3 linked regions of the Arabidopsis thaliana genome follow. The protein of the gene in region 3 purifies or fractionates together with the protein of the main gene of each other region. This does not show direct contact. Each region holds a gene or a part of one and is shown on either strand. Other genes may lie near its edges.

Region 1 (6,209 bases), 2.5 Mb from region 3:
CGTGATCAGATCCCAATAACTATGTGTTCAAACACACATAAATCTTATTCTATAAAACCAACAAGCTTTAGAAGTCTCTCGTCTCTCTTTTCTCTAACACACATCTCCATCCAAGATTTTCTCAGTTCACAGAAAAACAGAACAAGAAAAAGTCAAGAGGTTTCAAGAGTCCTAAAGGAAATTTCAAGAAGAGAACTCAGAATGAAGAGATGCTGTTCAGTGGCTCTGGTTCTGTTACTTGTAGCTTTCTTTAGCAGCAAGTATAGTGTAGAAGGACGTTCTCTGTTAACGATGACACATTCGAGTCAAGCTGTGAGAGATTTGCCTGTAAGCAAGGAGATGAAGAAAGAGCCACTTAAGGGAGAAAATGATAGCTTCAGAAGAATCCCAAGGAGTGGCTCAAACCCTATACAGAACAAGTAAAGAAGATACGAGACACAATCTAGTTTTTCTTTTTTTTTATGTATCCCCAAAGATGAGTTTTAGGTGTAATTGACATCAAAAAGTGTTTCTTTTTGTATCAGGTGTAATCCACCGGTAGATGTTAAAGCAAGTAGGAAACAACAGCAGATCACAACATCAAGAAAACCTTAAAATTCCAGTTCTTTTTTTGTCCTTATTTAGATCCTCTACTTTCGTTTTTTTTGTAGAATAGGTACCTAGACATGTGTGCTTTTAATGCTGTAATCTACTTGAAATATATGAACTCATCTTTTAATCTTATTGATCGATCAAGATAGGATGAAAATTTAAAACGCCTCCTAGCTCGAGTAGTCTAACTTTCCAAAACTATTCTCAACCTCTTTAATCTTTTGAGTTCTTCTTCTTTTCTCTGCTTTGTGGTTTCTTTTATTTGACTTCAGCAGACTTATCCTCAGCCATAGCATGTTGTTCTCAGTGGTGCTTAAAACCTTAAATATAAAATGATCAACCTCTTTATCTATGTTCTCGGTTCTATATGCTTCAAAAATGCATCCTCAGATCCGTAAAAAATTGAAAGTTGTTCTGCAGGAAACCTCACAATATCCTGACTATTTAGCTGCCTATCTCGATATCCAGTGATTACTCCTCACTGCAAAACAGCAACAATGAAAGAAGTAATCACAGCTGTGAGCACTAGATTCCTTTTGACATGTAAGTTTGTACTTCTCTAAAACACCGATACAGATTGTTGAGATTGTTTACAAACTTTTGGACCAAGAAGAAACAAAGTGGCATCCAACACATTACTCAAAAATGACGTCGTTTTGCTGATCCCATGTATAATAATATTACTGTTATTAGGAAACGCTGAGAAAACCGCCGCCAAAATGACGTCGTTTTGCTGATCCCATGTATAATATGATGAATTTTTCCCACGAACCGGTTGGGCCGGAAGAGAGTCTCTAAACCGTAACTCGGCCCATAATGGCCAAATTTTGTCCAATTTCTAACAGCGTTTTACGCGCCGACTCCGACCAATAAAACACATGGTTTTGTCTGAATAATCCACGATCCAGAAGTTCTTTATCTCCAATTAATTGTTCATTATTATTATTAGTACCAAACTAAATTAAAAAGAAGAAGAAAAAACCACCTTCATTTATTACGACCTCTCTTTAGACAAATTTTTTGACTAAGAAAATATCATAAACGGCTAAAAGACTCGAGATTACGGATTATGGATTGAAAACACACAAAACAAAACAAAACAATAATAATAATCTCATTCCTTTGTTTGAAATTAAAAAAAAATCTCATTTACGTTTATTACATTCTTTTTTTAGATTGATTTTTCGTTGAAAAGATAAATATATAGATGGCTTTTGACAGAGTATTTGGTAAGAAAGAAAAAAAGAAAGACATTCAATATTCGTTGAAAAGGGTTTAAAGAAATCCGTTGAAAATAAAGGAAAACAAGATAAATTCTAAATCCGTGGACGGACAAAAAAATGTCAAAATCAGTGTGAATTGGAGAGAGAGAGAAGACAGGAATTGGGAAGTTTCGTCTTTCGAGCAAAACTATCGAAATCTAAATTTAGATTGAGAAACAAGCCAACAAGCTTTTTAGTATAAATCCCATACCACACAATCACAAATGCGGAGATTCGTGATTGGCCAAGCTAAAAATCTCATAGATCAGAGTCGTCGTCGTCAACTTCATCATCACAAAAATCTCAGCTTTGTCTCTCTTATTCCTCCTTTTTCTGCTCCTTCCGATTCTTCATCGCGCCACTTGTCTTCTTCTTCTTCTTCCGATATGTCTGCTTCTGATTCCTCTTCCTCTCTTCCCGTTACTCTTGACACCATCAACCCCAAGGTCCGTTTTTTTCTTAATTTTTCCTTTATTCTCGCCTTTTTGGGTTGCTGTTTGTTAGTGATTTGTGTTCTGTGTTTTGGATTATGTTTCCTCGATTGATCTGTGTCTTTTTGCAAGCTTTGATTTTGTTTTATACTCCGATGAAATTTTGTGATTTATGATTTGGTAAAGTGAAGAGCTTCGTTTAATTTCTTCGAGATTGCTCTGTACTTGATTTAGGGTTTATTGATCACCTGCTTGTGTTCTTTTTGGGCATCATGTTTCGAGTTTATGCATATTATGATTCGTATCCTCGTCTCCGCATCTTGATCATTGACCCTTGATGGATTTATTTCTTTTACGTATTATATTACTAGGTGATCCTTTGTTTATAGGACTATTTAGAATCCATTTTGTTCTTCAGCTTTTTGCGTATATTAAAAAAGTCTGTTGCTTTCTGAATTCTTCATTTTTGTTCTTCCTTGTGATTAGCTCATACTTTACAATTGAATAGTTTATTGTCGAGGAACAGTTCTGCATCTTAAATCTAGCTTTAGTGACTGATGTTTTGTTTGGTTTTTTTTATTCTAACAATATGGTTTCTTTTTGGGGGTTCTCAGGTTATCAAATGTGAGTATGCTGTCCGTGGAGAAATTGTCAACATTGCTCAGGTTAACATCTTTGTCCTTGATTGTATATTTCTAGTGGAGACTGTTTTGCTCATTTTGATTTCTGTTTCCATCTTACAGAAATTGCAAGAAGATTTGAAGACTAACAAGGACGCTTATCCCTTTGATGAGGTACGTTATAATCGGTTTAGTCCTTTTCGTGTTTTCAAGCTTGATTCTTTTCATGAGTGAAGCTTACAAGGTTCTATGTTTTTGGCAGATTATCTACTGTAATATCGGGAATCCTCAATCTCTTGGTCAACAGCCTATAACATTCTTCAGAGAGGTAAATAAGTGAGCTTTTATAGTGCTGGTTTGTTCCATATGTTAATCATGAGTTAGCTTGTAACATTTATATCTCAGGTTCTTGCTTTATGTTCCTACACAGCCCTGTTGGATGAGAGTGCAACACACGGTTTGTTCAGGTATCAAAAGTGGTTTATATGTTTCTTAGTTGTTTTGATTCTGTGGTGTAAGATTTTTTAACATTCAACTTTACAAATTTTATCAGTTCTGATTCGATTGAGCGTGCTTGGAAGATTCTGGACCAAATTCCCGGGAGAGCGACTGGTGCTTACAGCCACAGCCAGGTTTGTGGCATTGTGAATCTTGACAGCATTTCTCTCTCAATGATGATTCCCTCTCTTAATCTTCCGTTCTTCCTCAGGGTATCAAGGGGTTACGTGATGCAATTGCTGATGGAATCGAAGCCCGTGATGGTTTCCCTGCTGATCCTAATGATATATTCATGACAGATGGTGCAAGTCCAGGGGTAAGGATTATCAAACTAATCTTCTCGTAACTCGTAGAATCTGGAACACCTTGTTTTGAAGTTGACAGTGATGTTCCTCTCCTTCTAGGTTCATATGATGATGCAACTTCTCATAACTTCAGAGAAAGATGGAATCCTTTGTCCTATTCCTCAGTATCCATTGTACTCAGCTTCAATTGCCCTTCACGGTGGAACTTTGGTATGTTCGTTATCTTTGTTTATGATGATGATATCATTTTGACGCATTACTATATCAAATGGGAAAATGAATCTGTCTCCAAAGTTTCTTTTGTCTTTCTTCTCATTGTCGTCATGTTCTTCTGGTAGGTTCCATACTACCTTGATGAAGCATCAGGATGGGGTCTTGAAATATCTGAGCTGAAGAAACAACTTGAAGATGCTAGGTCAAAGGGCATCACTGTGAGAGCTTTGGCTGTCATTAACCCTGGAAACCCGACAGGGCAGGTAAATTAATCTTCAAGACTAAAACTCACAAATTTATACCGATGTGAATTTCATAGTTTCGTCTAAATTTGACCTCTGCTTTGTTCTGGTAAAAGGTTCTTTCGGAAGAAAACCAGCGTGACGTTGTTAAGTTCTGCAAGCAAGAGGGTTTAGTTCTTTTAGCAGACGAGGTTTATCAAGAGAATGTCTATGTCCCTGACAAAAAGTTCCATTCCTTCAAGAAAGTAGCCCGCTCTATGGGCTACGGTGAGAAGGATCTTGCCTTAGTCTCTTTCCAATCTGTCTCCAAAGGTTTGATACAAAAACAAATCTCTTAGTCAATTGATAATTCTGATCATTGCGATGGGAAACTAGTCAGAAAACTGAATTCATTATTTCTGACAGGGTACTATGGAGAGTGTGGGAAAAGAGGTGGTTACATGGAGGTTACTGGATTCACTTCTGATGTAAGAGAGCAGATATACAAAATGGCTTCTGTGAATCTTTGTTCCAACATCTCTGGTCAAATTCTTGCTAGCCTCATCATGAGCCCACCCAAGGTATAAAACATCTATATGACTTTATCATCACAATTGATTCAGTTTCCACCTGTTGGCTTGGACTTGCACATCGATAATTGACCTTAATAGCTTTTATTAAATTTGATCAGCCTGGTGACGACTCCTATGAATCATACATAGCAGAGAAGGATGGAATTCTCTCATCTTTGGCAAGACGTGCAAAGGTTAGCCATTTAATAGACAACTAGGAATATTCAAGATTAGAACTTTCTGTTCTTAAAGTGTTTGAACTCTAACCTTGCAGACTCTTGAAGAGGCTCTGAACAAGCTAGAGGGAGTTACATGCAATAGAGCAGAAGGAGCTATGTATCTATTCCCTTGCCTTCACCTTCCACAAAAGGCAATTGCAGCTGCTGAGGCGGAAAAGACAGCACCAGACAATTTCTACTGCAAACGCCTTCTAAAAGCTACTGGAATAGTCGTTGTCCCTGGTTCTGGCTTTAGACAGGTTTGAAAAAAAGAAATAGCTTTTTCTCCAAAGAACCAAAACTAAAACCTCACTTGCTGATATTGATTATGTCTTTGTTCGGTTTGATGTAGGTACCTGGAACATGGCATTTCAGGTGCACTATACTTCCCCAAGAGGATAAGATTCCAGCGATTGTTGATCGTCTAACTGCGTTCCACCAGAGCTTCATGGACGAGTTCCGCGACTAAGCATTCTGTTTTCAAGATCCCTCTATAGATTATATGAGTAATAATAAGAAAAAGGTCCCATGCCGTTTCTTTTTCATCGACTTTGTGTTTACAGAAGCTAAGATGTGAGAGCATTAGTTAGTGCTCTCTTTCTTATTCACTTTTTGTTCTGTTCTCTTTATAGTGAAAAACCGTAATATAAATTGAGAGAGTTTCTTATAAACGGTTAGTCAAAATGTAATCTCATCAAGAAAACACAAGATTGAACCATTGTTGAATTCCATGTTCAAAGTTTCGATTTCACAGAATCATTTTCGTTTGAAAATATAAATAACTGCATAAGATTAAAGATTGTGGAGAAAAGTAGTGATTAGTTGAGAGACAAAACAGCTGTTACCTGCAATTTATTCTTTCTGAAATTGGAGAATTACGCTAATACCTCCAAATTCCCTTAGTAAAATGTAGACAGTAGTCACGTTCTCTATTCACATGGCCACCATCTCTTAAACTTCAAAGCATGCACATGAGTTAGGTAATGTGTACTGTACATATGATAATGTAGATGCTGCTGAGTAATATCATCATCAGTAAATGATAAGGTAAGTGACTCAAAATCTGATTATTATAGCAGCAGTCAAAGTAAGATCACGTAATTAGATCCCAATAACTATTTCTTCAAACACACACAAATCTTGGTCTATAAAGCAACACGCTTTAGAAGTCTCTAGTTATCTAACTCATATCTCTATCCAAGATTGTCTCAGTTACTGTCACAAGAATAAGATACGAGCTTTCAAGAATCCTAACGGATTTACAAGAAGAGAAATCAC
Region 2 (5,547 bases), about 19 Mb from region 3:
CAGAAGCCTTTTTGAGCTCAATTTCAAGCTCCATCATGGTGCTCGCTTCGCTCGCACGAATAACAGCAGCCAAAGCTCGTATAGCCGCGACGGCTTCAGCCAGATCCGGTTGTTTTCTCCAGTTATTGAACTCTTCAATTACATTAAACGACTTCTCGTTCCCGAGATCAGTTACGGATAAGTCATGCTGGGCATCGCCTGAGACGCCGCCAACGGCGGCTTGAGCTTGGGCTAGCCAGTCGCTTGTAATGACACCGTGATGCGCCGCGCGAGTTTGGTAATAAGCGGAGATGGAATCAGGGTTTTGAAAAGGACCTCGTGTTGTATCCGCCATTGGAGGTGAATTCGAGCTTCGTCGCTCGTCGAGAATAAACGACGGTGATCTTCTCCACATTGATTTTTTTTTTTCTTGAGAAAATTCTTCAAAATGGAAAAATTGAAGATAATATACTGTCGCTTTCTCCAGAAATATCATATGAAAAATAAATATAAGGCCCATTAATAATATAAGGCCCATTTATAAGCCCAATAAATTTACTAATTTTCATATCTTCATATGACATGCCATGGAATGGAAGTACAAAATATTCTAAAATTAAATTAGCTGATCACAATTGCCTGATCAAATTCAAAACACAAGTTTTCTTTTTTTTAATAACTCAAACTGATCACACTTTTCTTCAAAAGGGTCTTTAAGTTCATCTTCATGGTCAGGTCCTTTTAGTTGCGGAACTCGTCCATGAAGCTCTTGTGGAACTCTGTCAGACGATTCACTATCGCTGGAATCTTGTCTTCTTGTGGAAGTATTGTGCATCTAAAGTGCCATGTTCCAGGAACCTAAACCACAATGAATCCAAAACCCATTATTCAAGTTCGATCCTTTTGTAAGACATTTAAAGTTATGAAGATTTGGTTATATTTTACCTGTCCAAAGCCAGAACCAGGGACTACAACTACACCAGTAGCATTGAGAAGGCGTTTGCAGTAGAACGCATCTGGTGCAGTTTTTTCAGCCTCAGCAGCTTCGATAGCCTTTTGAGGAAGGTTAATTCGCGGGAAGAGATACATTGCTCCTTCGGCTCTGTTACATGTAACACCTTCTAAACTGTTGAGAGCGTCTTCCAAAGTCTGCAAGTTCATTTTCAAGCTTGTGACATTATATACAAAGAGACTGAAAAATGTCGTTAGAGGGTATTGTAATCTTCGACTAACCTTTGCACGTTTAGCCATGGATGAGAGAATTCCATCTCTTTCTGCCATGTATGAGTCATATGAGTCATCACCAGGCTGATCAAATACAATATTAGACTTTTTAGTCATAATCTGTTGCAAGAACTTAGCGAAAACCGATTAGAGAGAACTAGGGTGTTACCTTGGGTGGGCTCATGACAAGGCTAGCAAGAATTTGACCAGAGATGTTAGAACAAAGATTCACAGAAGCCATTTTGTATATCTGTTCTCTTACATCAGAAGTGAATCCAGTAACCTCCATGTAACCTCCTCTTTTTCCACATTCTCCATAATATCCTATCAACAGAAGAATATTAAAAACAAAAACCCCATTTTTTAGATGACAAGCATTGGACAGTAAAAGTTGTTCTTTTACCTTTGGAGACTGATTGGAACGAGACTAACGAGATATCTTTTTCTCCATAGCCCAAAGACCGAGCCACTTTCTTGAAAGAATGGAACTTTTTGTCAGGGACGTAAACATTTTCTTGGTAGACTTCATCAGCTAAAAGAACCAAACCCTCTTGCTTGCAGAAATTAACAATGTCACGCTGGTTTTCTTCCGCAAGAACCTAACCAGAATAAGAACGCAAGATTAGAAGAATGTTACATTTTGTTAGGCTAGTCTTGAAAATCTGTTTGTACCTGCCCAGTTGGGTTACCGGGGTTTATGACAACCAAGGCCCTTACAGAGATGCCCTTGGACCTAGCTTCCTCTAGTTGCTTCTTAAGGTCAGATATTTCCAGTCCCCATCCTGTTGCTTCATCAAGATAGTACGGAACCTAAGAAGTACAAATTTCAAAAACTTGTACCAAAAAACAACATTACTCCATGATGATTATATGAACATACCAAAGATCCACCATGAAGGGCAATTGAAGCCGAGTACAATGGATACTGAGGAATCGGGGAAAGAATACCATCTTTCTCTGAGCTCAAGAGAAGTTGCATCATCATGTGAACCTATAGAGTAAAAAACACCAAAAACACTTAGCATGAATCCTTTAAAAGAACTTACTCTAACTCTATGAGATAACGTTTTCGTTTTGATTGTTACCGCTGGACTTGCACCATCAGTCAAGAAAATATCATTTGGATCAGCAGGGAAACCATCACGTGCTTCGATTCCAGCTGCAATTACATCACGTAAACCCTTGATACCCTGAGGCAGAACAAAAAATGAAACATTCAGCAACATAAGAACCATCTCAAGAAAGGGTTTAGGACTTTTAACTAGACTCTAATAACAAACCTGGCTATGACTGTAAGCCCCAGTTGCTCTTCCGGGAATATGGTCCAAAATCCTCCATGCTCGGTCAATTGAATCGGTACTGATAGCAGAGTAGAAATCAAATGTTAAGCAATCTTAAACCGTGAGCATACATGTCCTAAAGCTGAAATATAGCAAGGAAAACCTCACCTGAACAAACCATGGGTTTCAGACTCATCCAAAAGACTTGCGTGGTCACACAATGCGAGAACCTGAGGCATATAGATGATAGACGTTATATCTCTGTGGCTGATATGACAACCAAACTAGTACCAAAAACATTCACTTACCTCACGGAAGAACTTTATAGGCAGCTGACCAAGAGATTGAGGATTCCCAATGTTGCAATAGATTATCTGCCAAAAGTAATGAAGAATTCTAAGTTCCTTGCACAAAGAGTTTGAGAACAGGTAACATCAACACTAAACTAATCATAAATCCGTCAAAACTGCCGATAAAGAAAGAGATTTTACCTCATCAAAGGGATAAGCATCCTTATTAGTCTTCAAGTCTTCTTGTAACTTCTGTAAGATGGAAGCAAAAAGCAAACAAAAATCAATTAGCATTAAAAACAATTTTACAGATTTTGTTCTTGGTTTTACAAGACAAAGCACATGCATCTCTGACCTGAGCAATGTTGACAATTTCTCCTCGAACAGCATACTCACATTTCAGAACCTGTTCCCCGGAAAAGAAAAAAAACTCTTAGTTAACAATAAAACCAACTTCTCTGTAATATAAAGTACAAAGAAGTTATGCAAAGCTTGTCGATTTCATCGTTGGGAATCACAACGAGAAGCAAAGGATAAACCTTTGGCGTTAAATCAGACAACCACAGTAAAAAATTGAAACTTTTTTACTAAATTAGAAACAAATCCAGATCAACCCTGAAACCCACAATTCAAAAACGCAATAAACCAGCTAGAGAATTAGAAACCGACCTTGGGATTGATGGAGTCAAGAGTAACGGGAAGAGAAGAAGTGGAATCAGAAGCAGACATCTCCGAAGTAGAAGAGAAGAAACGAGACAGAGCAGGAGGAGAAGAAGCAAGGGGACGAGGTTGAGGAGAGAGAAAGCTTGGACTTTTGTGGTGATGTTGACGACGAGAATGGTCGACGAGACCTTTAGCTTGGTTAATCAAGAATCTCCGCATCTGTGAATCAGCTTTATACTAGGAACGTGCTCTTTAAGCCCTAGGATTGAAAATTCTCTCACGAGGAAACAAGGGTCCCAATATCCAGTGCCTTGCACACCGAATTTTGCCTTGTCCTCCACGCTCAGAAATTGCTTTTTCGTTTTTTCTTTTCGAAAATCTAATTGATGAAGATATTTGTAGGGGTTTTTTTTAGGCGGCTAATTTTGTTGATTTATCTGTTAAACACACGACTAATCCCAAAAAAAGACATGTCTTTTATCAAAAAAAGATGTCTGAAGTCTATCTTCCGTTGACTTAATTATCCAAAAGGACCAAAATTGAATAATCCAATCACAGTCGTAATCTAATTTGGGGATAAATAGATACTTATAAAACCTACAGCTAATTTGAAAGTTATAAATTTTTAGAAATCTCTAAATTTAAATAAATCACAACAACATGTAGCAGCACATTGCTAACGATGAGGTTTTTTTTGGGCTACATAATTGGGCCCTAAAAAGGTCGGTAAAATCGTGATTTAAAGCCCATTATTTGTTTATATCCACGTCAACAAAACGATATCGTATTAGGTTGGACGAGAATAAAACCCTAGGAATTAGAAAATTTGTACAACGTCAAAACATCGAAGATTTTGATCCAACGTATACCAAGAGTTTCGGAGACGACGTCGTTTTGTCTCTGCGCCGCGTTCTTAGTCTGAGCTCACGCTTGTTCGTTTCTCCTCTAACGTCAACTGTGTTTTTGCATCCTCAAAGGTTTGTGATACACCTTATTGTTTCTGTTCTTTTGTACAAGCTTCACATGGATTAGTGTAAAGTCTTAGAATTGGGACTCGGAATTTATTGTTATGTTTTAGGTTATTCAACCCAGTTATGGTATCGTTTTGAAGTAGAGGTAGAAACCCTAATTTTTGGGGTCTGTAAATTTGGAGAAAAAATTGAACCTTTCCCTTTTTTGTTATATTGTGTAATTTGGGACTAATAGTTCTTCGAAGCTGAGTTTTTTTGTGTGTAAATTTTGTAGGGTTTAACATAGTTGGGGCTAGGAATTTTCATGGTTTCTGTTGGTTCTAAATCATTGCCATCTAGGAGGCACAGGACCATTGAGGAAGATAGCTTGATGGGTGAACGAGGAAAGTCTAGTAACAATCACAGTGAAAGGAATAAGGGAATGCGTAGGAAGGACCATAAGGGTAACCGTGGATTTGATGTAGATAGCAGCAAGAAGAACCAATCCGGTGGTGCCCCCAATGTAAAGCCAGCATCAAAGAAACACTCCGAATTCGAACATCAGAATCAATTTGTCAGGTAAAGGAGATTTTTAACCAAGGGCCTTTGCTCTAATTTATAGTCGAAATTTTGTTGTTGTGAGAAGTGGTAGTGATTTGGGTGTATCTTTTTCAGGAAAGAGATTGATCCAGAGACTTCAAAGTATTTCTCTGAGATTGCCAATCTCTTTGATAGTAATGAAGTTGAATTAGAGGAACGTTCAGTAATATGTGGAAATGCCCTTGAAGAAACAAGAGGGAGGGAGTATGAAATTGCTACAGACTATATCATAAGTCATGTCTTGCAAACTCTACTTGAGGGATGTGAACTTGACCAACTCTGCAGTTTCATACGAAATTCTGCTAGTGTGTTCCCAGCCATTGCAATGGATAGATCTGGTTCTCATGTCGCAGAGTCTGCTCTCAAATCCTTGGCCACACATCTAGAAAATCCAGACGCCTATTCTGTTATTGAGGAGGCTTTGCATTCTATATGCAAGGTACTTTATACAATTTTTACTGGCTTTGACAATCATATTAAGGTATCCAGATTATTGCTTCTAGTCTAGTAATTGACCTCAATTTTGATGGTGAAATATTTCCCCTGGTCAGGTGATTGTGG
Region 3 (4,554 bases):
AATTGGCGTATAAGAGACTAAAAGAGAGTGTATAGTTTCTTTTGTTGAGGTTTCTTTGATATCAAATGTTTTTTCACTAAATAAATATTTCCTCGTTACCAAGAAGACATGAGATTTGGGCCGTGTAGATATTTTTTGGGTCGTGTTTGCATAAGAAACTGAGAGGGGAAACACTAAAAAAACAGAGTTCAGCTAGAAACAAAAACAGAGAGGAAGAGAGCCCAAACTTACGCCTGGCCAAAAAATACAGAGCAAAACAAACAAAGTCAAGTAATTCTAATAACAAATATATTTTCTAATTTAAGTAAACCTTATATGAATTACGAAATTGATAATAAGATTTTATAGAAAAAAATTAAATTCAATATTTATATCTCTAATTTAAATATGTTTTGTATATTTTTTAAAACAAGATTTGGACTAAATTAATACAAATATCTGCATTCTAATCATAAAACTTTCTCATCATATGTCTTTAATTTATAGAAAGCTTTTAAATTTCATTTTCACAGATTTTACCAATTATATACTTTTGCAACTAAAAAAACCAGAAGACTGCAGTGTAAAAGCTAATGCTAAGATTTTACTAATTATCTGCTCAATACAAACACAAATCGATAATAAAGCTCTTTACATACAAACACCGGATTCTACTATCGATGATGCGGATGCGGTTACATACATCAATGCTGTGAAGGAAGCATTTCATGATGAACCTGCCAAGTATGACGTGTTTTTAAAGCTCTTTACTGACGTTCGCGTCCATATATAGATATGAGTTGTTTTCTCTCTTGTTATGTTTGGCATGCTCATCATTTCATAAGTACCAATCCACAGAACAAACACACTACGTGAACTGATCCTGATGTTACTAAGGTCTCTTTTTGTAGAGTGTATGTCGCTAGTGACATTTCTAGAACGAAGGAACTCATCAAAGATCACGAGAATCTGCTTCTTCGTTTAAATGCCTTCCTTTCCAGCTGAGACTCAGAGAGTCCTACATCCCAATATTGAGCAACGGGCTGCATCTGATGATAACAAAAGAAGTTCCTTGTAGACTGACAAAACATAAGCACCTATGTGCTTTGATTGAGCTTTGAACCCACAAGAGCCAAGATTTAGCTAATACTACATATGAACCAATTGCTTCCTCTACTAGGAGCTGTACCAAATCTTATTATCACTGTACAAAGTTTCATATTGTTAAAAACTAATTTACACAAGATTACTTACAACAAATAAAGTTAAAACAAAAATAGATTATAGAGTTTGGAATTGGTAACTAAACCAATTGAGAGAACATGGAAATAACATTCTCTAGTCTAGTCCGTCCATGTTTGGTGGTGGTACAGTATGAGAATTTTGCACGTGAGAAAGCGCGTGTGCTAAAAAGCGAGTGAGCATTAAAGACACGAATAAAAAACCAGACATAAAAAGCCAAAAAGTTTCTCTTTAAAAAACCATTAAAAAGGACCCAAAAGTTAAAGAAACGATATATTCGAGGCAAAAGTAGAATTATCATCACATAATAATTTCGCTACGTTGAAAAAAAAGTGAATAAAAAAATGAAATGATATTTTCAGTTGTACGCTCTTCTCTTCCTTATATCTTCCGCTTCACTTCACACCAAAATCACCACCTCTCACAAACCCTAGTTCCTCCTCTCTCTCATTTCTCGGAGATATTCACCAGAGCAATAACCATGGACGCTAAAGAAACCTCTGCCACCGATTTGAAAAGACCGAGAGAAGAGGATGATAACGGCGGCGCCGCTACCATGGAGACGGAGAACGGAGATCAGAAAAAGGAACCTGCTTGTTTCTCCACTGTTATTCCTGGGTGGTTCTCTGAAATGAGTCCTATGTGGCCAGGTCTTGTTTCCTTCCTCTCTCTCTCTCAAAAAACAAATTCTGGGTTCTTAAATTAAAAAGCTGATTTTTTTTTTCATTGGTTTGATGATGCAGGAGAGGCACACTCATTGAAGGTTGAGAAAGTTTTGTTTCAAGGGAAATCAGATTATCAGGATGTTATTGTTTTCCAGGTAACAAAAATAAGAATCATTTCTCTGTTTTTTCCTAACTTATTTGTCTGTGATTATACTTATAAAGACTTGTTTTTTATGTGTTGGTTAGTCTGCAACATATGGAAAAGTTTTGGTTTTGGATGGAGTAATCCAACTTACGGAGAGAGATGAATGTGCTTATCAGGAAATGATCACTCATCTTCCTTTGTGTTCTATCCCTAACCCTAAGAAGGTATACAATCAATCCTTTTGCTAGATTCTGTGACCTTGATTGTGTTGTGTTGTGGGTAATCAAAAGTTTATAGCTTTGGAATGTAATGAAAGGTCTTTCTTGAAGTTTGCATTTTTCTTCTCCGGTAAAGTAGGATGATGAAATCATTAGTTATGGAGAAATAGAGAAACCAGAGTTCCTTTTATTAGATGTGTATATAGAAACTACTTGAGTTGGCATTAATGATTACATTCCAGGGTGGTGATAGGAATGTCCACTAGAGAAAAGGTTCATGATCACCATTTTTTGCTTTTTATATGTACAAACTTTGATGGCCTCCTGAGAAAAAAAGGTACATAGTCCCATGTTCCCTTCTGGCAAAGTTAGAGAACTCAAGTAACTTTATTGGGTTATAATAATGATTCGGAAGAAACTTATTTCAATGGGCTTAAATGATTAGTCTTTAGCTTGTTATTGGGGGACTTGGTTCAGAAAAGGTTAGATAATCAAGCTTCTTACATTCAGAATTGCTTTTGCTCCCAAGTATCAGAATTGGGTAGTCTAACTATTTTGGGTTATGGTAAAGTGGGTCAGCTAAAAATGCTGTTTTTGCTTTTAGCTAGTAAAGCTATAAGCCAGAGTGTATCTGATCAATGCCTTTCTAGTTCTTCCATAGGTTTTGGTCATTGGAGGAGGAGATGGAGGTGTCCTGCGGGAAGTTGCACGCCATGCTTCTATTGAGCAGATTGACATGTGTGAAATTGATAAAATGGTGGTCGACGTGAGTGGTCACTTACTTTTCACCTTTCCTTCTTCTCTATTTCGATAGATAAATACCTTGTTATCTAATTTGTTTCCACCTACTGGTAATTTTCAGGTGTCTAAGCAATTTTTCCCTGATGTAGCAATTGGATATGAGGATCCTCGCGTGAACCTTGTCATTGGCGATGGTACAATACTGCCGCTTTTTTCTCTCTTTCTGAAACATTATGTAGTTATGTTGAACACATTTTGCCGTTTCAAACTGATCGGTTGGTGAATCGTTGCAGGTGTTGCTTTCTTGAAGAATGCTGCTGAAGGATCATACGATGCAGTTATTGTTGACTCTTCAGATCCAATCGGTAACTACTACAATCAGATGTCATCAGATGTCATCAGAAACAACATTATTCCTTACTGTTATGTTGAACAATACTAAAAAGCAGCCTTTACTTATTGTCTGTCAGGTCCTGCAAAGGAGCTGTTTGAGAAACCCTTCTTCCAATCTGTGGCTAGAGCTCTTCGTCCTGGTGGAGTTGTGTGCACTCAAGCTGAAAGCTTGTGGCTTCACATGGACATCATCGAAGACATTGTTTCCAACTGCCGTGAGATCTTCAAGGGTTCTGTGAACTATGCTTGGACCAGCGTTCCAACATACCCCAGGCATGTTTAATGACCTTTAACATCAATCTCTCTCCTTTTTGGGTGATTATAACTTAACCTGAATCACACTTTTCTTATTTTCAGTGGGGTCATTGGATTTATGCTTTGTTCAACTGAAGGACCTGATGTTGACTTCAAACACCCACTGAACCCAATTGACGAGAGCTCCAGCAAATCAAATGGACCTTTGAAGTTTTACAATGCCGAGGTAAGATAAAAATCTCTCAGTATACCATTTCATGCGGTCTACACACTCGAATCATTAGCTTATGCTCTCATTTCTTGGGGGTTTCAGATTCATTCAGCTGCATTCTGCTTGCCTTCTTTCGCCAAGAAGGTCATTGAGTCAAAAGCCAATTGAAAAGGGAAAGAAAACTAATCTGGAGGATCGTTGAATTTATCAAAAAATAAAAGCTTTTTACAGTTTTTAGAATGTTCTGTTGTTTCACTCATGTTTCTGTAACACAATGCAAGAGCGACTATGTCTTCTTTTAGCATTACACATTCGCATAGTAGCAAATCCTATTTACAACATGTTCTTATGCTTTTGCGTTGAAGCTGAGAAGTCTAATAACCTTTCTGCTTTTATACCATTTATTATAAAGATTCACACTTTGAATTGATCTCAGCCAAAGTCTCTTAAGCAGCAGGAGTTTTAGCTTGTTCTACATCACGCTTTTTTCTCAAAACCATAGTTTTACAATCATGGTAACAGGCAAGACAAGTCACCCATTTAAGTAAATTGCCAACACAAATCAAGCCTACATAGAAGCCAGTGTACATCACTCCATTTCCACTCGCACTGCATTTGGAGTATAAACATGGCATCCTTGTCGCAAGACCGAAGACCAAGAACATTAACATCAACCAGAGGTCACGCTTCTCATGTCCTTTTCTA

Evidence for each region. The genes of interacting proteins can lie anywhere in the genome.
Region 1: the proteins of SPDS1 (region 3) and AlaAT1 fractionate together in Arabidopsis thaliana (co-fractionation; one large-scale study listed by BioGRID). This does not show direct contact.
Region 2: the proteins of SPDS1 (region 3) and ALAAT2 fractionate together in Arabidopsis thaliana (co-fractionation; one large-scale study listed by BioGRID). This does not show direct contact.

The regions. Positions count from the first base shown.
Region 1 is NC_003070.9:5,920,694-5,926,902, forward strand, and holds AlaAT1 (alanine aminotransferas), read left to right. Parts: upstream 1-1,638; 5' UTR 1,639-2,077; coding exon 2,078-2,299; intron 2,300-2,898; coding exon 2,899-2,949; intron 2,950-3,027; coding exon 3,028-3,078; intron 3,079-3,166; coding exon 3,167-3,232; intron 3,233-3,309; coding exon 3,310-3,371; intron 3,372-3,457; coding exon 3,458-3,536; intron 3,537-3,613; coding exon 3,614-3,718; intron 3,719-3,806; coding exon 3,807-3,917; intron 3,918-4,045; coding exon 4,046-4,183; intron 4,184-4,278; coding exon 4,279-4,474; intron 4,475-4,567; coding exon 4,568-4,722; intron 4,723-4,832; coding exon 4,833-4,907; intron 4,908-4,987; coding exon 4,988-5,191; intron 5,192-5,283; coding exon 5,284-5,400; 3' UTR 5,401-5,707; downstream 5,708-6,209. Other genes in the region: AT1G17285 (uncharacterized protein), read left to right, coding at 22-419, 525-594. UniProt on the Arabidopsis thaliana protein: Is the major alanine aminotransferase in roots that catalyzes the conversion of alanine to pyruvate. Involved in the rapid conversion of alanine to pyruvate during recovery from low-oxygen stress.
Region 2 is NC_003070.9:27,231,745-27,237,291, reverse strand, and holds ALAAT2 (alanine aminotransferase 2), read right to left. Parts: upstream 3,818-5,547; 5' UTR 3,656-3,817; coding exon 3,443-3,655; intron 3,180-3,442; coding exon 3,129-3,179; intron 3,026-3,128; coding exon 2,975-3,025; intron 2,858-2,974; coding exon 2,792-2,857; intron 2,714-2,791; coding exon 2,652-2,713; intron 2,563-2,651; coding exon 2,484-2,562; intron 2,394-2,483; coding exon 2,250-2,393; intron 2,195-2,249; coding exon 2,084-2,194; intron 2,014-2,083; coding exon 1,876-2,013; intron 1,803-1,875; coding exon 1,607-1,802; intron 1,528-1,606; coding exon 1,373-1,527; intron 1,288-1,372; coding exon 1,213-1,287; intron 1,129-1,212; coding exon 925-1,128; intron 838-924; coding exon 721-837; 3' UTR 503-720; downstream 1-502. Other genes in the region: AT1G72340 (NagB/RpiA/CoA transferase-like superfamily protein), read right to left, coding at 1-475; PUM23 (pumilio 23), read left to right, coding at 4,712-4,965, 5,062-5,425, 5,538-5,547.
Region 3 is NC_003070.9:8,418,708-8,423,261, forward strand, and holds SPDS1 (spermidine synthase), read left to right. Parts: upstream 1-1,702; coding exon 1,703-1,871; intron 1,872-1,964; coding exon 1,965-2,041; intron 2,042-2,132; coding exon 2,133-2,255; exon of another isoform or gene 2,256-2,910; coding exon 2,911-3,015; intron 3,016-3,111; coding exon 3,112-3,184; intron 3,185-3,283; coding exon 3,284-3,355; intron 3,356-3,460; coding exon 3,461-3,656; coding exon of another isoform or gene 3,657-3,660; intron 3,661-3,740; coding exon 3,741-3,864; intron 3,865-3,951; coding exon 3,952-4,017; downstream 4,018-4,554. Other genes in the region: AT1G23830 (uncharacterized protein), read right to left, coding at 4,296-4,554.